Arabidopsis thaliana: one gene and its partners. The protein of the gene in region 2 interacts with the protein of the main gene of each other region in a pairwise test. Each region holds a gene or a part of one and is shown on either strand. Other genes may lie near its edges.

Evidence for each region.
Region 1: the proteins of AT1G22810 (region 2) and AT1G26610 interact in a two-hybrid assay, tested with the Arabidopsis thaliana proteins (one large-scale study listed by BioGRID).
Region 3: the proteins of AT1G22810 (region 2) and URO interact in a two-hybrid assay, tested with the Arabidopsis thaliana proteins (one large-scale study listed by BioGRID).
Region 4: the proteins of AT1G22810 (region 2) and AT4G13040 interact in a two-hybrid assay, tested with the Arabidopsis thaliana proteins (one large-scale study listed by BioGRID).

The regions. Positions count from the first base shown.
Region 1 is NC_003070.9:9,190,838-9,196,183, forward strand, and holds AT1G26610 (C2H2-like zinc finger protein), read left to right. Parts: upstream 1-2,489; 5' UTR 2,490-2,820; intron 2,821-2,897; coding exon 2,898-4,265; 3' UTR 4,266-4,545; downstream 4,546-5,346. Other genes in the region: CLE9 (CLAVATA3/ESR-RELATED 9), read left to right, coding at 712-1,209; AT1G26620 (T-box transcription factor, putative (DUF863)), read right to left, coding at 5,001-5,346.
Region 2 is NC_003070.9:8,073,518-8,077,495, reverse strand, and holds AT1G22810 (Integrase-type DNA-binding superfamily protein), read left to right. Parts: upstream 1-2,458; 5' UTR 2,459-2,526; coding exon 2,527-2,961; 3' UTR 2,962-3,265; downstream 3,266-3,978. Other genes in the region: AT1G22830 (Tetratricopeptide repeat (TPR)-like superfamily protein), read right to left, coding at 1-575; AT1G22800 (S-adenosyl-L-methionine-dependent methyltransferases superfamily protein), read right to left, coding at 3,457-3,570, 3,746-3,900.
Region 3 is NC_003074.8:8,248,606-8,252,560, forward strand, and holds URO (C2H2 and C2HC zinc fingers superfamily protein), read left to right. Parts: upstream 1-1,913; 5' UTR 1,914-1,973; coding exon 1,974-2,492; 3' UTR 2,493-2,878; downstream 2,879-3,955. Other genes in the region: AT3G23145 (ATP binding / aminoacyl-tRNA ligase/ nucleotide binding protein), read left to right, coding at 3,533-3,595, 3,754-3,852.
Region 4 is NC_003075.7:7,611,711-7,616,880, forward strand, and holds AT4G13040 (Integrase-type DNA-binding superfamily protein), read left to right. Parts: upstream 1-2,009; coding exon 2,010-2,041; intron 2,042-2,361; coding exon 2,362-2,432; exon of another isoform or gene 2,433-2,509; coding exon 2,510-2,640; intron 2,641-2,849; coding exon 2,850-2,958; intron 2,959-3,057; coding exon 3,058-3,238; intron 3,239-3,310; coding exon 3,311-3,432; coding exon of another isoform or gene 3,433-3,505; coding exon 3,506-3,600; 3' UTR 3,601-4,245; downstream 4,246-5,170.

The DNA of each region.
Region 1 (5,346 bases), 1.1 Mb from region 2:
CACTTAGAGCCAATTCTTTGCTTTATGAACTCAAGTATTGATGTATATATTATCTTCAGCTTTTTAGGGACCTTTCATGTTTCTTACTGATTACTGAGATTCATTCTTCTTGTCTTCAAAGAAAGCTGTTACTTTTAAAGTTTTTTTTTCCTTTTTCGAGCTTTCACCTATAAGACTTCCTCTGTATTCATATTAGCACAATCAAAGTCAAGACTACAAGAGCCATTGTCTATTGCTTTTATGATGATGTTTTGGTTCTAACATAAAAAGGGAGAGAGTTGTGTTCAAGTTAAAGTTGTTGATTCAATTGAAAGGAGGAAAAGCAAAATAAATAAATCCCAAATTTGGTAACTTTACTAATTTATAGGTAGTTGGGTTTAGATAGACTCCTATTGGGCCTGTTAAGGCCTTTAAACTATAGAAGCCGATAAAGACCCAGGAGTTAACTTGAGAGTCACGAAACCACTCAAATACACGTTCTTGTTTATCTTGTGTACGTAATTACTACATAAACCCATTATTTTGTACGTATAACGTATTGTATGAAAAAGCTAAAGAAAGTGAAATAAATCTAGGATCGAAATGTATATAATAAAGTTCACGGGTTGGTATTTATGTCAATGAAAACGAACTAAGCGAAGGACCCACTTTTTTTTGTATAACCAGTTTTGCCCTCTCATTTACTAAAACTAACCGTCATAACATCGATTCATGTGCTTCTTCTGTGTTGCATTTATATCCCAATTTGCTTCCACCAAATATCTTCCCTCTCTCGATTTTAAACTTCTTCTTCTCCAAGACCACTTCTCACTTTCTCTCTCTCGCTCTCTCTTGGAAACCAAAACAATGACGATGACTCACCTGAATCGTCTGATCTTGATCTCTCTTCTCTTCGTCTCTTTACTTCTCAAATCCTCCACCGCTTCTTCAACCGTCGTCGACGAAGGAAACAGAACATCAAGAAACTTCCGTTACCGAACGCACCGATTCGTTCCGAGGTTTAACCACCACCCTTACCACGTGACTCCTCACCGTTCGTGTGATTCCTTCATTCGTCCTTACGCGCGTTCTATGTGCATTGAGCTTCAGAGAATCCACCGTAGCAGTCGGAAGCAGCCACTTCTTTCTCCTCCTCCTCCGGAGATTGATCCAAGGTACGGCGTCGACAAAAGACTCGTCCCCTCTGGTCCAAACCCGCTTCACAACTAAAACCATATCCTCAAGTTTCTATACATACATATATACAGAAACATTTGTCACATATTTTCTAATTTAACTCGTTTCTCGGATTTGTTCGAGAGAGATTTGTGTACTTTATAGCTAGAGTTATTTTGGCCCAAGAAGATGGTTCGTTAGTTCTTCTTGGTCTTCTTTGCGGAAATTTCTTATTTCTACTTTCTTGATCTTGTAATGGAGTCTTGCGTTATGGTAATATTGTAACTAAGCTATTTCCACGCTTGTTTTTGGGCTTTGTAGTGTGAAAACAATCTTGGAAATAGTGTATTTTTGCAAGGGACTTTCTTTTGTTTTTCTAATGAGAAAATGATAAATTATAGTTTTGAAAGCGAAAGGAGAAAAAAAGATTTAGTATGGTTGGGAGAGGAGAGGTGAAGAAACGCATGAGCTCCATTAATTTGGGAGCTGTATTTATGTAACTCTAAAGTTTCCATTGGTCTATCAATAAAAATTTAAAAAGGTTGATGGGGCATATATATGTTATGTTCTTCTCTTTCGTGTGATATTTCGCTGTAAAGATATTTATTTCGCTTGTCTCTGTCAATAGACAATAGTAAAAACTTTGCAAATATAGAAACTTTTATTTATAATTTTGCCAACCAGATTTTCCTTTATCATTTTGCCAGCCAAATTTTTTATGTCTACTCATTTTTACAAATGTGGCACCGTCCACCATGTACGTGTTATCATCCGATTTAATCAACGGATTATAAGTTGTAGAAAATATTATTTATTACTCTTTATGAAAAGGAAAGTTATGAAAGAAAATGTATATATCTTAATGTTTATCGCCAAATTTATGGGATAAAAGTGTTTTAAGATGAGATGATGAATATAGTGCAAGCCTGGCAAAACAGAAAAGGAAACAAGAAGCAAAATTGGAGGGGAAAAAAATAATCTTTATAGAGTAAAATAGAAATAACTTGAATGCATTTTTGGTATAAGATGAATCAGAAAAAGTTATAATTTTTGTTTGTAACTTGTGAATTTCGAGTATTTTATCTAGTACATATCACTTTTTGGGTTTAGAGCCTTTCAAAATCTCTGGACCGGACCGGTCTACTCGCAACAAAATGATGGATTCAGCTAAAATGTGTCGGATCTACTAATCTTTTTTTTTTTTGTTGCTTAGTTAGCTAATTACTTTCTTGCATTCTTTATTTGGTTGCTTTTATCCAAAAACAGACTAAAATAATGCGTGTATAGCTTTCACTCTTAAGCAAAATCCGCCTAGACAATGGTCACGTCTTCACTCATTTCTCTACTATTCTCTTATGAAAAATGTCAATAAAAAATTTGCACACTGTATAATGTAATAATCTGAGTATCAAAAAATTTTTATTTTATATCTTTCATTCGCAACCCCAAAAAGAAAGTAAATCTGCTAACTTTAGATATTGAGGAAATTTCAAAGTCAGTTTTATTTGTTTCCTGTTTTTGTGTTCTCTTTGCCTTGATGGTAGGATCTGTAGTTAACAAGACTAGTGTTACATCTCCAAACTCTGATCGCTGGAAAAGTATCAAGCTTTCTGCTTGATTCTCTTTCTTAGCATCTGTCAAGCTTTCTTTGAAGATAAATTTGAGGTAAAAATCAAACTAATGGCTTCTCTCACTTTTTGTTTCTACTTCTTCTTATGATCTTTTGTCTTTGTTTTGATCAGATGGAGCAGTTCAAAGAGAGGAAGTTTGTTTGTAAGTTCTGTAGCAAGAGGTTTCCTTGTGGGAAATCACTTGGAGGTCACATCAGAACTCACATGAATGAGAATTCAGCTGATTCAGATGAAGATGAGGCTGATAAGCTCAAGATGATTGATGAAAATGGTGGTCAATCTAGTTATGGTCTGAGAGAGAATCCTAAAAAGAACAAGAGGTTTGTGGATCACAGACAGATTATGGCTCTGAAACAGCAGCAGCAGCAGCAACAACTTCAAGAGCTGCGTCGTTGCAGAGAATGTGGTAAAGGTTTTGTTTCTTCTAAAGCTCTTTGTGGTCACATGGCTTGTCACTCTGAGAGAGAGAAGATTGTTATGGATAGTCAATCTGATACTGAGGCTTCTTCCTCTCCTATCAGAAGAAGATCCAAGAGAGTTGTTGTGAAACCTCACCACAAAGCTGCTTTTGTAGTTGGTGGTAATGGTATTATGAATCAATCTATTTCAGCTTCTTCTGATGCTTCTGAGATTGAGCCTGAACAGGAGGAAATGGCAAGGTCTTTGATGATGCTTTCGAGGGATTCTAGTTTTAAGAAAGGACATAACTCTTTGGCTGAGTCATCTGACAACAACTCTGTGATTCTTGAGACTAAGTCATCTTCAGGTGAGCAGGTTAAGATGTTCAATGTGAAGAATGTTGAAGAGTTATGTAAGAAGAACAAACTTGTAGTTGATAACCAGATGAGGTCTGGTGAAGAAAATGGTGATGTTCATTATGATTCAGATAATTCTGACTCTGGCTACTTCAGGAATGGACCAAAGAAGTTGGACTCAGATGTTTCTGTTGATGGGTTCTTTAGGAACAAAACAATAATGGGATCTGGATCCGGATTCAACAGCTCCCCAACAAAACAAGATAGGGACATGAACAGATTCAGGAAGGAATGGTATAAGGAAGGAGGGTCAGGGTCAGGATCAGGATCAGGTCGTTCTTCTACAAAGTATGATCTGAGGAAAAGCAAAAGAGGTTTTCCTTCTCATGGTCGTAAGAAAATCAAGTATGAGTTCACTGAATCTGTCTATGACAGTGGTGAGCATAGCTTGGAAACTGACTCTTGTGCGGACACAAACAGAACTATCAAGATTCATAGTAAGTCTCCAATGGTTAAGAAAGCAAACGGTGCAAAGAAGAAAAGCAAAGGTCACGAGTGTCCGATTTGCTTCAGGGTGTTCAAATCAGGACAAGCTTTAGGAGGTCACAAGAGATCACATTTCATTGGGAATCAAGAACACAGGACTTTGGTGATTCAACATCAAGTAGCTCATGAGATGCATACACTCATCGATCTCAATCTTCCTGCTCCTATTGATGAATGATCTTACTAAAACCGAAACCGCGGTTTTCTTCTCTTTATTGTTTCCTTTCTGTTTATTGATTCTTTTGCTTCAGATTCAAGAATGCTTTTGGTTTGCAAGGCAAATCAAAGTCATCTTTTATTTGTTCATAATCATATAAAAGCTTGGTGCTTTTGTGGCAGAGTTCAATGATACTTCAACTGGAAATAGAATAGTAAAACAATTATGAGAAAGCAAAAGGACCCCATGTCACCTCTAAGAAGAAACTCTTGTCAAAAGTGTTCTTCTCTATTTTGGTCAATCTTTTTCTTTTTGAAACAAAAGTCAAATCATTTTTAAGCAAACTATAAGTGTTTTTTTCGCAACATATGTACCGACCCTGTGGTCTAATTTGGCGTAGATAACATGTGTAACACTCAACCAGTTAAATGTTATGACCTAATTAAAGATGACGTTTTAGAATCAAATTATCTTTAATGGACAATCGTTTTATACTTGGCTCTCAATTAAGAAGAAATCTATCTGTTTTATAACCAACCAGGCTATAATACAAAGCAAATCATGTTTTGGTCCATCTTACAGAAGATAAAAGATATACAAAACGAAAAGAGACATAAATCACCTCCCAAATAGGTGAAAACAATTAACAACATCAGTCTACTGTATAAAAAAAATAATTTGGTATAATCTCTCTGTTTTATACCCCCCTCTATAGAATTTCCAAGTTTGGTAAATTCCGATTATTTCCTGAAACTATTATGTTAAGATCACGGTTGGGGGATTACTACCTGCAGGAGGGCACCTTTGTCTCCTCGGTCTTCTTGTTGCTTGTCCCCATCCTGAGAGCTTACTGTCTTCAAGTCCTCCCACTGATACGCTCTCATTCATTGGCTGCGCCATTGACGGGCATAATGGAGCTTGGTTTATGTTAGTGACATTTCGTTTTCTTTTTGAGTTCCGTCGAACAGCCAATCCAGAACTCCAAGTGTAGTCTCCGGTTTTCATCAGTCCCCCAAACATTTGGATATCTTCAGTGACTTCATGCCTCGACAGAGAAGAGAGACCAGGTAGAGTATCCCTTTGGAAATCCCGCTTTGGTCTT
Region 2 (3,978 bases):
TTGATAACAGACGGGTAAGTAAATTCATCCGCTCTAATTCCTTTACTCATCATTCGCTTGTAAACAGAAACAGACTCCTGAAACCTTTTGTTCCTAATATACGAACCGATGAGCACATTCCACGGCAAGGGATGCAAAATCTCAGAGTTCTCAGTAATGGTCTGAGCTTCGTCAAGGAGATTAAAAGCAGAGTAGAAAGTGACCAACTTTGGGACCAAAACAGAGTCAAACTCCAAACCCGACGAGATACAATGAGCATGAAGTTGCTGGCCAGGAACAAACTCATTAAAACCCACACATGTAGATAGAAGAGAAGCTGATGAATACAAAACGAATTCATGAGAACCAGACTGGTAGCGAAGTAGAGAGAAAGTTCTGAAAGCTTCATATAATTGACCATGGGAAATGCAATGTCTAAATGAATTGAAAAGCACTTGTGGAACTGATTCATCATCATGGGTTTTGGAAGTTTCTGAGATGGGTCTCGGCAGCTGTTTCCACGATTGAGGAATAAACTTGCAAATTTCGGATACAGTGAGACCTCTGAGTATAGAGCGAGAAGGAGAAGACGGCATATACAGTAAGCTGCATATGATGGCAACGAATGGATTTTGATTATTGTTCCAAGACTAGTTTGATCCATCAAAGCGAAAGTTCAAGCAATTTTGCTTCTCCGTCTGAAAGTCAAAGGAAGAAAGGTGAGAAAGATAAAAAAAAAGTTTCGTTGAGGAATTTCATCGAACATGTGGTGAGCGAAACATACCGTATACAGACGAAACATGGAAGTATAAGTACATCTAGAGAAACATAAAAGAGATAAGACAGATGTCATGTAGGAAGAAAAAGGAAAGAAGACAGTGATTCGGAGACAGTATCGACGGAACCGGACGAAGCGAAAGTAGGAGTAGCCGCGCGTGAAGGTTATGTAGAAAGAGACTCCTTTTTGACATTTATTCAATGTTCTGGCATGTGCTCAGATGATTTGGGCCGCTTGTTTAGATTTGTCCACTTCCAGACCCATTGCAATTGTAACCCATTTTAGCCCACTAAAATCTGACTGTAACAACTTTATAAATTTATGGTTTTTTCAAAATATTACCAAGGTTAAATAAATCGTGTTAGATGAAGTTGGCACCAGTTTTTGATATTACAAAATGAGGTCACTAGTATTTTTTTTATAAGAACTTATAATAAGTAATTTATTAATTGCATTATTTCATTAATATTGATTTTATATATACTGATACACTAGGGTTTTTATAAACATTTAAATTGTCTAAAATCGCATAGACCAACCGAGTAGGTGTGAATATTTATTGTCAGATATCAATAATCTGCTAGACGTTTCTAAAAACATCTCTAATCGTAACTTACCAAGTTACCTTTGAGGTTTCTTCTAAATGAGTCGGTGACTATGATAAGACGGTGTATCACATCACAATCAACTCCCAAATGTCAGTGTCGAGAAAAACCTAATCAAGTATCAACTACAAAGAATTGGTTATGCATCCGAAGGATGAAAACACATTAAATACATTATGAGACTGGGTTTCTCCGTGGATGATTCGTGTTTTGGATGTGGTTGTGTGTGAACTAAAATTTGACAACCATGTACATGAGTCAGCAGACACAGAAGAAGACAAAAAATAACTTTTTCCAGTTAGTTTGGGCTGTTGTGTCTGTGTGTTGTCCGTGGAGAATCATTAAGTCATTACAGATCTTTGGTCAAATGCCAAAAATAAAGGACCCCCTTTAGACGGTGCTCATGTCACGCATGACGCAATTTGTAACCAAAAAAGGCAAAGAAAGTCTTTCTTTATCCCACGTGGTTTAACCATCGACGACGACGTTTTCACATTCTTCATCGGTGGAGTTTGAATCGACTTTTGTGTTTTTCACTGCTTTTCTCTATACTATTATGTCATCACCTATTTTACAGATTTTTATGAAACGAAATAGAGGATATATAGTAGTATAAAATTCTAGATTTCGACTTAAGACTTTTTCATATAAAAAAAAATGAAAAACCTATAAATTAAGGTAACCTAACTATGATATACCAAAGCAACAACAACAAAAAATAAAGATTAATTTTCTATTTTAAAAAAACAAAAAATATCATTTATTTTGAAACCAAACAGAACGGTATATATACCACTTGTTTTATAGAAATGACTCTTACTTTCTAAATACATTGAATTTACTGTTAGACACAGCAAAAAAAAAAGTTACAACTTGAAAGAAAAAAAAATCGACTAGTCAGGCACATGTCAAATTGGTACCACTAAAAAAATGGGTCATACTTTGACCAGTTGATTTTTTCCTCGAGAATTAACTAGTTTTATAATTGGTCAACTTCATTCTCATTCTTGATTCATATTAAAAAATATTATATAATATTTTGACTTTCACTAAACTTCAACGTATAAATAGTCTTTGTATCTTCATATTCAAACATAAACAACACTCAAAAGTCTCTTCTTCTTCTTCTTCTTCTTCACATCGATCATCATACAACAACAAAAAATGGATTACAGAGAATCCACCGGTGAAAGTCAGTCAAAGTACAAAGGAATCCGTCGTCGGAAATGGGGCAAATGGGTATCAGAGATTAGAGTTCCGGGAACTCGTGACCGTCTCTGGTTAGGTTCATTCTCAACAGCAGAAGGTGCCGCCGTAGCACACGACGTTGCTTTCTTCTGTTTACACCAACCTGATTCTTTAGAATCTCTCAATTTCCCTCATTTGCTTAATCCTTCACTCGTTTCCAGAACTTCTCCGAGATCTATCCAGCAAGCTGCTTCTAACGCCGGCATGGCCATTGACGCCGGAATCGTCCACAGTACCAGCGTGAACTCTGGATGCGGAGATACGACGACGTATTACGAGAATGGAGCTGATCAAGTGGAGCCGTTGAATATTTCAGTGTATGATTATCTGGGCGGCCACGATCACGTTTGATTTATCTCGACGGTCATGATCACGTTTGATCTTCTTTTGAGTAAGATTTTGTACCATAATCAAAACAGGTGTGGTGCTAAAATCTTACTCAAAACAAGATTAGGTACCACAGAGAAACAATCAAATGGTTGTGAATATACATTATAAGGTTTTGATTAATGTTTGTTTCACTGATTTAGTGAAGTTTGGTCCATTGTATACAAATCTATTCAAGAAACCTAGCGCGAGATCATGTTTCGTGATTGAAGATTGAGATTTTTAAGTATTCGTAATATTTTTGTAAAATACAAATATGTTTCTGATCAGCTATTATTCGATACGAAATACATGGGCGAAAGCAGGCGTCCTAATTGTGATGCTTTCGCCCAGTGAAAGACTCCGACAAATCTACAAGAGTTCCTCCAAGTACCTTATAGCTTAAGTCACTGATTTCTCTCTCAAGTGTCATTTGTAAAGTCTCTGCTTATTGAATGTTTCTCTTCTTCAATCATTCCATCAAGATTGTCCGCCAAATTGCTTTTGGAGATCCGTGAAGGATACGGTGGCTGAACCTCTTCGTTTGGCCTGCGGGTGAGACGAATGTTCTCTCCATCCTGTCATGTAAATCACCTACACAAGAATGCCAAACGATATATACTTTAGGCCTCAAATGTTGTTAATTTCACTTGTAGTATTTAGCATAAAATTGTTTTAATCATGGATTGTAGCAAAACAACTTGAATAATGAAGCTAGGTTATGGGTTTTTTTCACTGTTGAGTTAGTTCTGAACTATTATGGACAGACCTGAAAAGTAGCGGGTATAGTGCCGTCCTCTGTGGCAAACATGGAGTCATATATGGCTGCCGTGGCAACAGCAGTTTCACGATTCAAAATCTTGTTTCTCTCGAGAAGAGCATTGGTTTCACCCATCGCACGAAGATGCTCTATAAGATCCATCGCTGAGTAGAAAGATATAAACGAGAAGGCAAATCAGAAATAATTCTTGGAAGATACACGTTGTTGCAAACGATGAAGTA
Region 3 (3,955 bases), on a different chromosome or scaffold from region 2:
TTAAATAAATTGATGTAAACATTACATCATTTTTAGTAACTGATACAATATTGATATCAATTACAATAATCGATGTAATTATTTTGATTATTTACATCGGTTACTAATTAACCGATGCAAATTATTTGCATCAACAATATTTAAGTCACTTATTTAAATGATACAAAATTCTTTTACATCACTTTTAACTAATGCAAATATTTATAATAAATGATGTAAAACAACCTTTTTTTTGTAGTGTCTCCAACACTACATAGAGCATTTCTATATATGCATACACTATTCTTTCAGTTTATTACTATTAATGTTGTATATCACCCGCAAGTCCAAACACACATATAAATATTGAAACTGTTGGTGGATATTTTTTCCGTATGATTCTTTTATCAAGCTTAATTATATAGACCTTACCTTGACCGAGTTTGTTTCTTATCCACATGCCAATTTAGAATATTTGTTCGTGCGGGTTTTATGAAACAAATGTTATTGATGAAAGAAATAAATGTAGCTTTAGGAGGCTAAAGTCTACGATGAGCTGTAGTCCCAAAGTTCTTTTTCGTCTGTTATAAATTCACTAGTGAATATTCTTAAGTCAGTAGGATTCTCACATGTTCTCGAAATCCTATAAAACATTAATGCTCCTGATCAGCTTATAGAAAACGAATGACAATAGTTCTTTATCTAAATCCATAAAACATAATGGTATACTTGTTTTACTATATATTATCTGCATGATCTCACTAAAAAGAGACTACGCCAAAAGGAAGTCAGCCTACATAATAACAAATCTATTCAACTTCCATAATATCATTTTTCTTGAGGCTATAATTATTTTCCATTGCATATATAGAGAGTTTTGATCCATCGTGATTCGTTAAACGTTCTATTATATCCTAAAAAACGATATGGCAATAGCTAAAACCGAACTTATAAAACGCGGTTTCAATCGGTCCATAGAAGTTAAAGGGTACCGGTGTGAACGAAGTAAGTTTATGGAGGTGAATATTATTTTGTCGGTTCTGAAATTGAATACAGTAAAATATTAATTTTAGCAATCCTAAGAGTAGCAGGCGATCGCTCATCGATCGTATTTTTTTCTAAGTTTTATTTTGTTTTTGTTAAAGCATATTTTTCTAAGTATAGAAACCATCGAAATCAATTTCAGTTTTGGGGAGAACTCATAATAAATTTCATAAATGCTATTTAATTAATGAGAGCAATTTGTATATTCTTAATTGTTTTACCTACTTTAAGCACAACCACAAGTCCACAACTCCTTAGTGAATGCTTCTTTTAAAAAATTTGGTTTTATTATTTTGTAGGTATTACATGTTCACATTCAAAATATATTTCACACTATATTAGATTAAATTTAACTAAGCTTTAATATTTCACTAGCTCCTACTAGCCTTCCAATTTTTACAATTTTACTTTGCAATTTTTACTCTCGATCCAAACAAATAAGTACTTTTTTGTACTATATTCAAAGATGAACAACTTTATATTTTTCTTGAACAAAAATGAAATTGAATAGAGAGAAACTAGCTACCCTAACTAGTCACTCGAAACCTTATAAATAACACCTTCTGTAGTTTGTTTTCCTATGAAGAATATTTTTCAACTTTATCTATTATATTATCCTTTGTTAAACTTTCCCTGAAAATTGTTAGAAAATAAACTAATTAAAATAATTCTAAGCATGACGTTTTTGTAGTTATTAATTCATGTTACATTAGACGCACGAATTTAATTATAATACACACCCCCGTAATTAAGTACATTAAAGACCCTAAAGTATATATATTAACCATTGATAAAACAATTTAGCCCTAATTAGTGTCCGTTCACACACATAATCTTTCCTTTAGCTTATATATACGCTGGTGTGTGTTTTTAAGAAGCTTCATACACTCATTTTCAAAACATTGAATACTGAGACTTGAGAGAGATCCCAACAGAAGAAGAAGAGAGAGATGAACCACCGGGACAAACAAATTGATTCCGGCTCTGGCTCTGGAGAAAACCGCCGGACTTATGACTGCGACATCTGCAAGAGAGGTTTCACGAATCCTCAAGCCCTCGGTGGTCACAATAACATCCACCGCAGGGAACGCGAAAGATACCCCTCCTCCTCTTCTTCTTCTCACTCATTTCCATTTTCTCTTCCGTTACCATCTCAGTCTCCCTCCTCCTCCACAAACTTCACAAACCCTCCTCCTTATTTTCCGACCATTGAGTCATACCTACACCAAGGGTCTCAGCCACCTATTAACCCTAGCCACAACACACAATACTTTGGATCATCATCATCATCAAGAGGAGGAGGGAGATTTGCTCAAGGGGCGTCTCATGATCTTAATTTGAGCTTAGGGCTCGGATCCATGAATGAAGATGATGACACTCACCGGAGCCCACCAGAGACCGGAGGTTCTCAACCTCAAGATGGTGATCTTGATCTTGATCTTCGACTCGGCGGTCATCGTCATCATTAAGCTTGCAGCGGTTTCCCTCACGTTCGATCCACGTAACCATATACAATATATATATATAGTTGAAAGTTAATCACCGTATAGTGCATGATGTTTATTGTGGTGTTTATATATGTTTTCAATATATATGTAGTATGATCAAAATATGTTGGACTTGGAGTCATGTTTTTATCATGATCGTATGAAGTTTGGGTTTGTATAATTCAAGACTATATTTTTCACTTAAAAATTATAGATCAAATAGGTTAATTTGAGTAATGTTTTTGTTATACCTTTTTCAAAAAGAAAAAAAAATGTTCTTGTTGTCTGAAGTTGGGTTTGTATAGTACAGGATTATTGTTCTTTTCCATAACTATATATTAGTGTAGATCTATAGATCAAGTAGTTTTGCGTAATATGTTCTAATAATTAGTTACGTTGTATGAAATTTGGGTTTGTATAATCAAAGACTATCTATCATTCTCTTGTATAATATTTTACATGAATTTACATTTCAAGTGGGTTTGTATGAATTTACATTATAAAGTAAGTTTAAACTTATATTATGAATGAATTCGAACTGCAATGGGATAAACATTATATGCGTTTTAATAATAGGTTGGTGAAGTTTATAATTTACACCATTTGAAAAGCCTTCCAAATTTAGAAACTACATTTTTGCAGACCCATGTGAGCTCATATGAATCAATCATAGCCTTGATGTTGTAAAACAAATTATGATTATAAAAATGTGATAGTATATTACATGCATAAAAAATAAAGGAGAGTAAATGAAAGTCAAATCTGGGTTTTATGAACTGAAAGTTGAAGTTTAGAAGTAGAAGTAGCGATCAAAGTATGACCAGTTAAAAGGCCCAATATCATTTGGAGGTTTGATTTTTGGGTTCGTAAATTTCAAGAGCCAGATTATGATTTGCTGGGCTTAAAAATCATGGAAAAATTGAAATGACGGTGTTAAAATATATAACTCAAATTAAAGATTTTAATTGGGTGTAGTAGGCTGATTTTTTTATAAGAATCTTGTCTATAGATGCTTCAAGGTTATGCCTTATAGTACTGGTTGTAAAACACCACTATCTAATTTTGAAGCTGGTCAGAACTATAAGGTATGTTGTTGTTGGCCTTGTTGCTAATGAAGATTATAACATTCTGTTGTTGCATTTTTTTTTTTTTTTTTGTGTTAAATATATATATTTTTTTTGCATATTTATTGTTGCATATTGTGTTGCATATTTAGTAATGGTTACATTCCCTGTTATCGGAGATCCAAGATAATACGGCTCTTGTGGCATGGACTACTACTCCATGGATTCTTCCAAGTAATCTTGCTTTGTGTGTCAATGCAAAGTTTGTCTATCTTAAGGTTCGTCAACAACACTGGAAAAGTCTACATTGTTGCTGAATCTCGGTTGTCATCGCTTCCTAGTGATAAGCCTAAGGCCGGCTTAACTAATGGAACTTACTAG
Region 4 (5,170 bases), on a different chromosome or scaffold from region 2:
CGTCACAAATGTTTTTGTGTCTAAGGAATTTTGAAAATTTGAGACTCACCATCTAAAATTCATTAGACAACTTTTTTTTAATTTTTTTCTTTGAAATTCAGGAGATTCTGGGCCGAATCCCGTAATCCCCCAAGTCCGAAATCATTAGACAACTTTTTTATTAGAAGGTTGACAATTTGAAAATTTCCTAGCTTTTATCTTTCTAATTAAGTTTACCTCTTTCTCATACATACATGCATCAAAAAAAAATTCACCCGAATGAATTTGTTACCAAAACACATGACAATGCATAGAAAGATTTGTCTTTAGCTTTTATAAAATATTTGTTTGTGGGATGATCTTTTCTTTTTAGATATTTCCTTCTGTTTTTCTTTGCTGATCTTTTTAAAGCTTTTTCAACCCACTATGATGTTGTTATAATTTAGTGTAGAAAAATATCTCGTGAAACTCTAAAGGATGAAAACTTTAGATTAACATTGATATCTCTCTCTTAATTAGTTACTCTTCTTAACTCCTTTTATAAAGACAAATTAACTACTCTTCCATGAAAAGAAGAGCTGTATTATAGGTCTATCAAAGTTCTAAACATAGCCTACTAGAGATTTTACACGGGTTTTTCGTTCACTAAGAGAGAATTTATACATTTTTTTTTGTTTTTGGTAAAAATTTATATACATTTTCTTTTATAGACATTTCTTCTCATATACTTCATTTTTAGTGTTTTTCAAATGTCTTTAGCTTTTTGTTCTTGCTTATGATCTTCGTTAGGGCATCACACTAAATATGATATGATTATAATTTAGTGTATGATAAAAACTACTTTGTATGGATATAGCGTGGACAAGATATTGTTGATATATATTTAAAACAACTTCTTATGATCATATGGACATAGCATGGACAAGATATTTATTTGATTTAATATTTGAAATGTCTTTATTTTTTTAATCTTGTTAGGGTTTCACACTAAATATGATATGGTTGTATAATTTAGTGTATGATAAAAAGAACTTCTTAACGAATGTGAAAAAACAAGAACCAGACCAATTAAATATAGGAAAATTTACATTTTTAACCCTCAAAATATCATTTAAATACTATTTGGGTGTTATTTGTGTTCCAAATATATTTATGTGTAAAACTTTTTGGGTGTTATTTGTGTTCCAAAAACTTGATTAAATAAAACAATTTTCTCTTTAATATTTATTTTTTACACTTTCATAAGATGTATGTAAATATTTTTTTAACTATAACTAATTAATACTTTTTCTAAATAACAATTTATGATGAGAAATGTTTAGTTTATGTTTTTCTAAATTTAATATACAATTAAAAAAAAAACTCGCATGTTGGACAAGTATAATCTATTGTTATATATAATCATGAGATTTTTTGTTCCACCATTATCGTTGTCAATTATTATTCTATTATTTTCGTTTTTTTCTAGCATTTATCTGTTTTTACTTATTAATAAATATATTTTCAACACATTGTTTTAAATAGTTTTGTCAAAATATTTAATTTTCCTTCTGGTCTTCTCAGCGTTTACCAACCAAATAAATAGAGGGCCAAAGGTGGTAGATGCATGAACCTCTAACACCACCACAACTTCAACACAATTAAACTCGTCTCTCTTTATCTTTCTCTCTCTCTCTCTTCTGTTCATTAACAAAATCCAGAACTATATGAGACCTTGTTGTCACTTACCACCTTCTTAGAGGTACCTCAATCGTTTCCTTAATTGCTCAGATTTTCCGGTTTAACTCTTTAACCGGTCTCTGTTTTTTTTAATATCCCCTAAAGCTTTGATTTTGATGCAATGGATTGGTTTCTATTGAGTTTGTGTGCAATGGGTATGTTTAGTTTTTGTCGTTGCTGATTTTGTTTCTCTGGAGAAGACTAATCCATTCTCATATTTGGCTTCTTGTTTTTTCTTTCCTCTTCTTGATTGGATCAAATCCATGAACCCATCTTCTGTTGACTCTGGTTTTTAGATTTAGCTTAGGTTTATGAGAATCCATGAAAAAGGTGGCGGTGGTAGGTTTTGTTCTTATTGAGGAGTTGACTTGATTTGGTTAAAAAGTCTTCCTTGATTAGTTACCAATTTCCCTTTTCATCGAGTACAGATTCATATCTTCACGTACTTTGATGGGTTTGATGAGCTGTTTAATTTGACTTTTGGAGAAACTAAAGTAGCTGTTCTTGTCGGATCTACGTGTTAACTTTTACACTTTATGGTCTCAAAACACTAAACATATGGTTAATGAGGCTATATTTTGTGTAATCTTACTTAATTTAGACATTTTCTGTTTTCTGTGAGTTGTTTCTTGAAGTGAGTAGTGCTTTGTTTGTGGTCTATAGGAGAAAAGTAAAACATTCAGAAGTCGATATGGTGAGCTTACGAAGACGTAGGCTATTGGGTCTTTGTTGTGGTAAACAATGTTCTTGACTAAATGCTACTATATAGTCCAATATTAGGCATAATGATGAATTAGTTTTATTTCTCTAGGACCAAATGGTTATGTGACACCACTTCCATTTTTAACTGCTGAGGAGATGATCACTGGGATTCCAAATCCTAATGCCAGAGCAGCTTATAATCCCGGGCCAGCAGAAACGGTTACAACGGTTATCGTGGAGGTACGGAAAAATGTTTTGATTTATATGGTTTTGCTAATTGTTTATCGAGGTTACTCTAACAAATGTCTAAGGGCTAGTGCAATATGTAATATGTAGTGTTACTTATGTGATATGTAGTGTTACTTATGTGATACATTTCGCTTTAGTGTTTCTTATTTATACGGCTTTAGTCATTCTAACAATTGAGCCTTCATTCTTTTGGTTTGCAGAAAAAGGCTATTGAAGAAAGAAGCCGAAGAACTCGGTCAAAACATATGCATTTCAGGTCTGATTATTCAGATATCTCACCGGTTAATTCTGATTCCATCTCACCAAAATGTGAGTAGTAGAACATATGTGAGAGAGGACCAATTTCTCATTTGCTTACTAATTGATTGAGACGAGTGAGAATTATATTATATTATCTCCCATTTATAGACCAGCCGCCGAAACGAAGAAAGCAGCATAGAAGAAAGCGAGTACATAACCAAGAACCATGTTTGATGAGAGGAGTCTACTACAAAAACATGAAATGGCAAGCCGCCATTAAAGTCGAGAAGAAACAAATCCACTTAGGCACTTTCTCTTCTCAAGAAGAGGCTGCTCGCTTATACGATAGGTAAAACTCTTTCGGGTTTTTTTTTTGCAATTCAAGTAATTCATTACCATTGACAATTATCACCTCTATTAGGGCTGCTTTCATGTGTGGGAGGGAACCGAACTTTGAGCTCTCGGAAGAAGTTATACGAGAACTCAAACAGCAAAGCTGGGAAGAGTTCTTGAATTGCACACGCCGAACAATTACGAACAAAAGTAAGGTTTTACTAACAACAAACTGTAGTGTATTTTGTTTGATAACCTTTTGCTGGACTCTTTGGATATGCAGAACCAAAGAGTAGGATAGAACATGAGGATACGAAGATCAATGCCAGCATGCCACATCAACCAGAAGAAGAAGAGCAAGATTCAGACAAAATGTGATAAGTTGTGCAAAAGATACAACCAGACTCATATACAAAGATAATTATTATTCATCAAGAAAATAGTAACATATATAAAGCATAGTCGTAAAAAACAAATAGCATCACTCATAGTAAGAGACAAATTAGAGACTCGCCATTAAGACCAAATGGTTATGTGACACCTTCTTGACACAAAAAAAAAAAAGGTTATGTGACACCTTTTTAATGGCTGAGGAGATGGCCAGCAGAAACGGTTAAACTGGCTATCGAGGAGGTACGGAAAAATGTTTTGAGTTTTAAGAATCTTTTAAGAAATCCGTACCACACTTTTCCTAACATAACTAGTTCAATTTTTGAGATCAAATCACTTTTGTGTATCATGATTTAAAACTCTGAAGTTCTCTAGAACACATGGATAATTCTTTACATCATATGGAACCAAATTCATATATGGACGCTTCACGTCCTCTACGGTTCTCATGTGCTTGACCATCTTTGTGATATATTCGGTGCCCGAGCAAGCTACTTGGTTAGCCAATGGTTCTTTTGAGTCAACTTTTTATTATTGTGACTCATACTATCTTCTCCTGACTTCTGCTCTTAATTCTCTATAGAAAAGTTCTCTGATAGATAACAAGTAATTCAAACAAATAGATATAGAACCATCTCGTAAAAACAAAAACATTAGTATATGAAAATTATGTTTTCTTATTATTTTAAACATTGAAAAATACAAAAACATATCAAATGAGCTATTTATTAGAAGAAAAAAAAACAATTTGACTAAAGAGTTAGTTCTTATGGCTTATGTAGGAGGTCATAAGCACATTATGAACGCCAGAACGTACAGGCAATGCCGCACGTCCATCCATTCGAAAATATATATGATCTACTCTAGCAATATACACACGTAGTTGACCACATTGAATATAATTTGGAATTGTAGGATAGTTTAAAAACTTTTGGAACATATGCTTCAACCTCGTTATAAAACTTCATGTTAATCTCTTGCCTAAAAAGACATTTCCAAATCGATCGCTTGGTTCCGACTTCCGTCATCCTTAAATTTAATGATTTTTGTACCTTTGGCGTTTAAATATTGGACTCCTAAATTTTGGTTCTCTGAGCGGCAATGATATTGGAGAATTCTACTAGAACCGAAATTGTTCTTAATCACAATCTCAGTTTTCTTGCAAGCATCATTTACCACAAAATAAATCGCACTAACTAATATGAAAATTATTAGACGACTCATTTGTTTGAATCTAAAGTAATTGTCAGAGAAACAAGAGCATCAACATGTAATAGTTTTTTTTTCTGTGTGTGGAAACCTTTTTCTTTATTTAGCAAATAATGTTTGCTGAAGTGTTAACTATATTTAGAGACAAACATGCATGAACATATTAGAAATTTGGTCAAAAGAGATTTTAGTGTCTAAATTTATGTTTAACCAATAAGATTCCAACCAAATGAAATAACCTAAGTTATTATAATTGACCTTGAAACTCAAACAAAAACCTTATCAAAAGGTTATTGGCAAAATGTTGAAGTATATCATAAATGTGTAGTAAATTTGAAAACTAAAATTG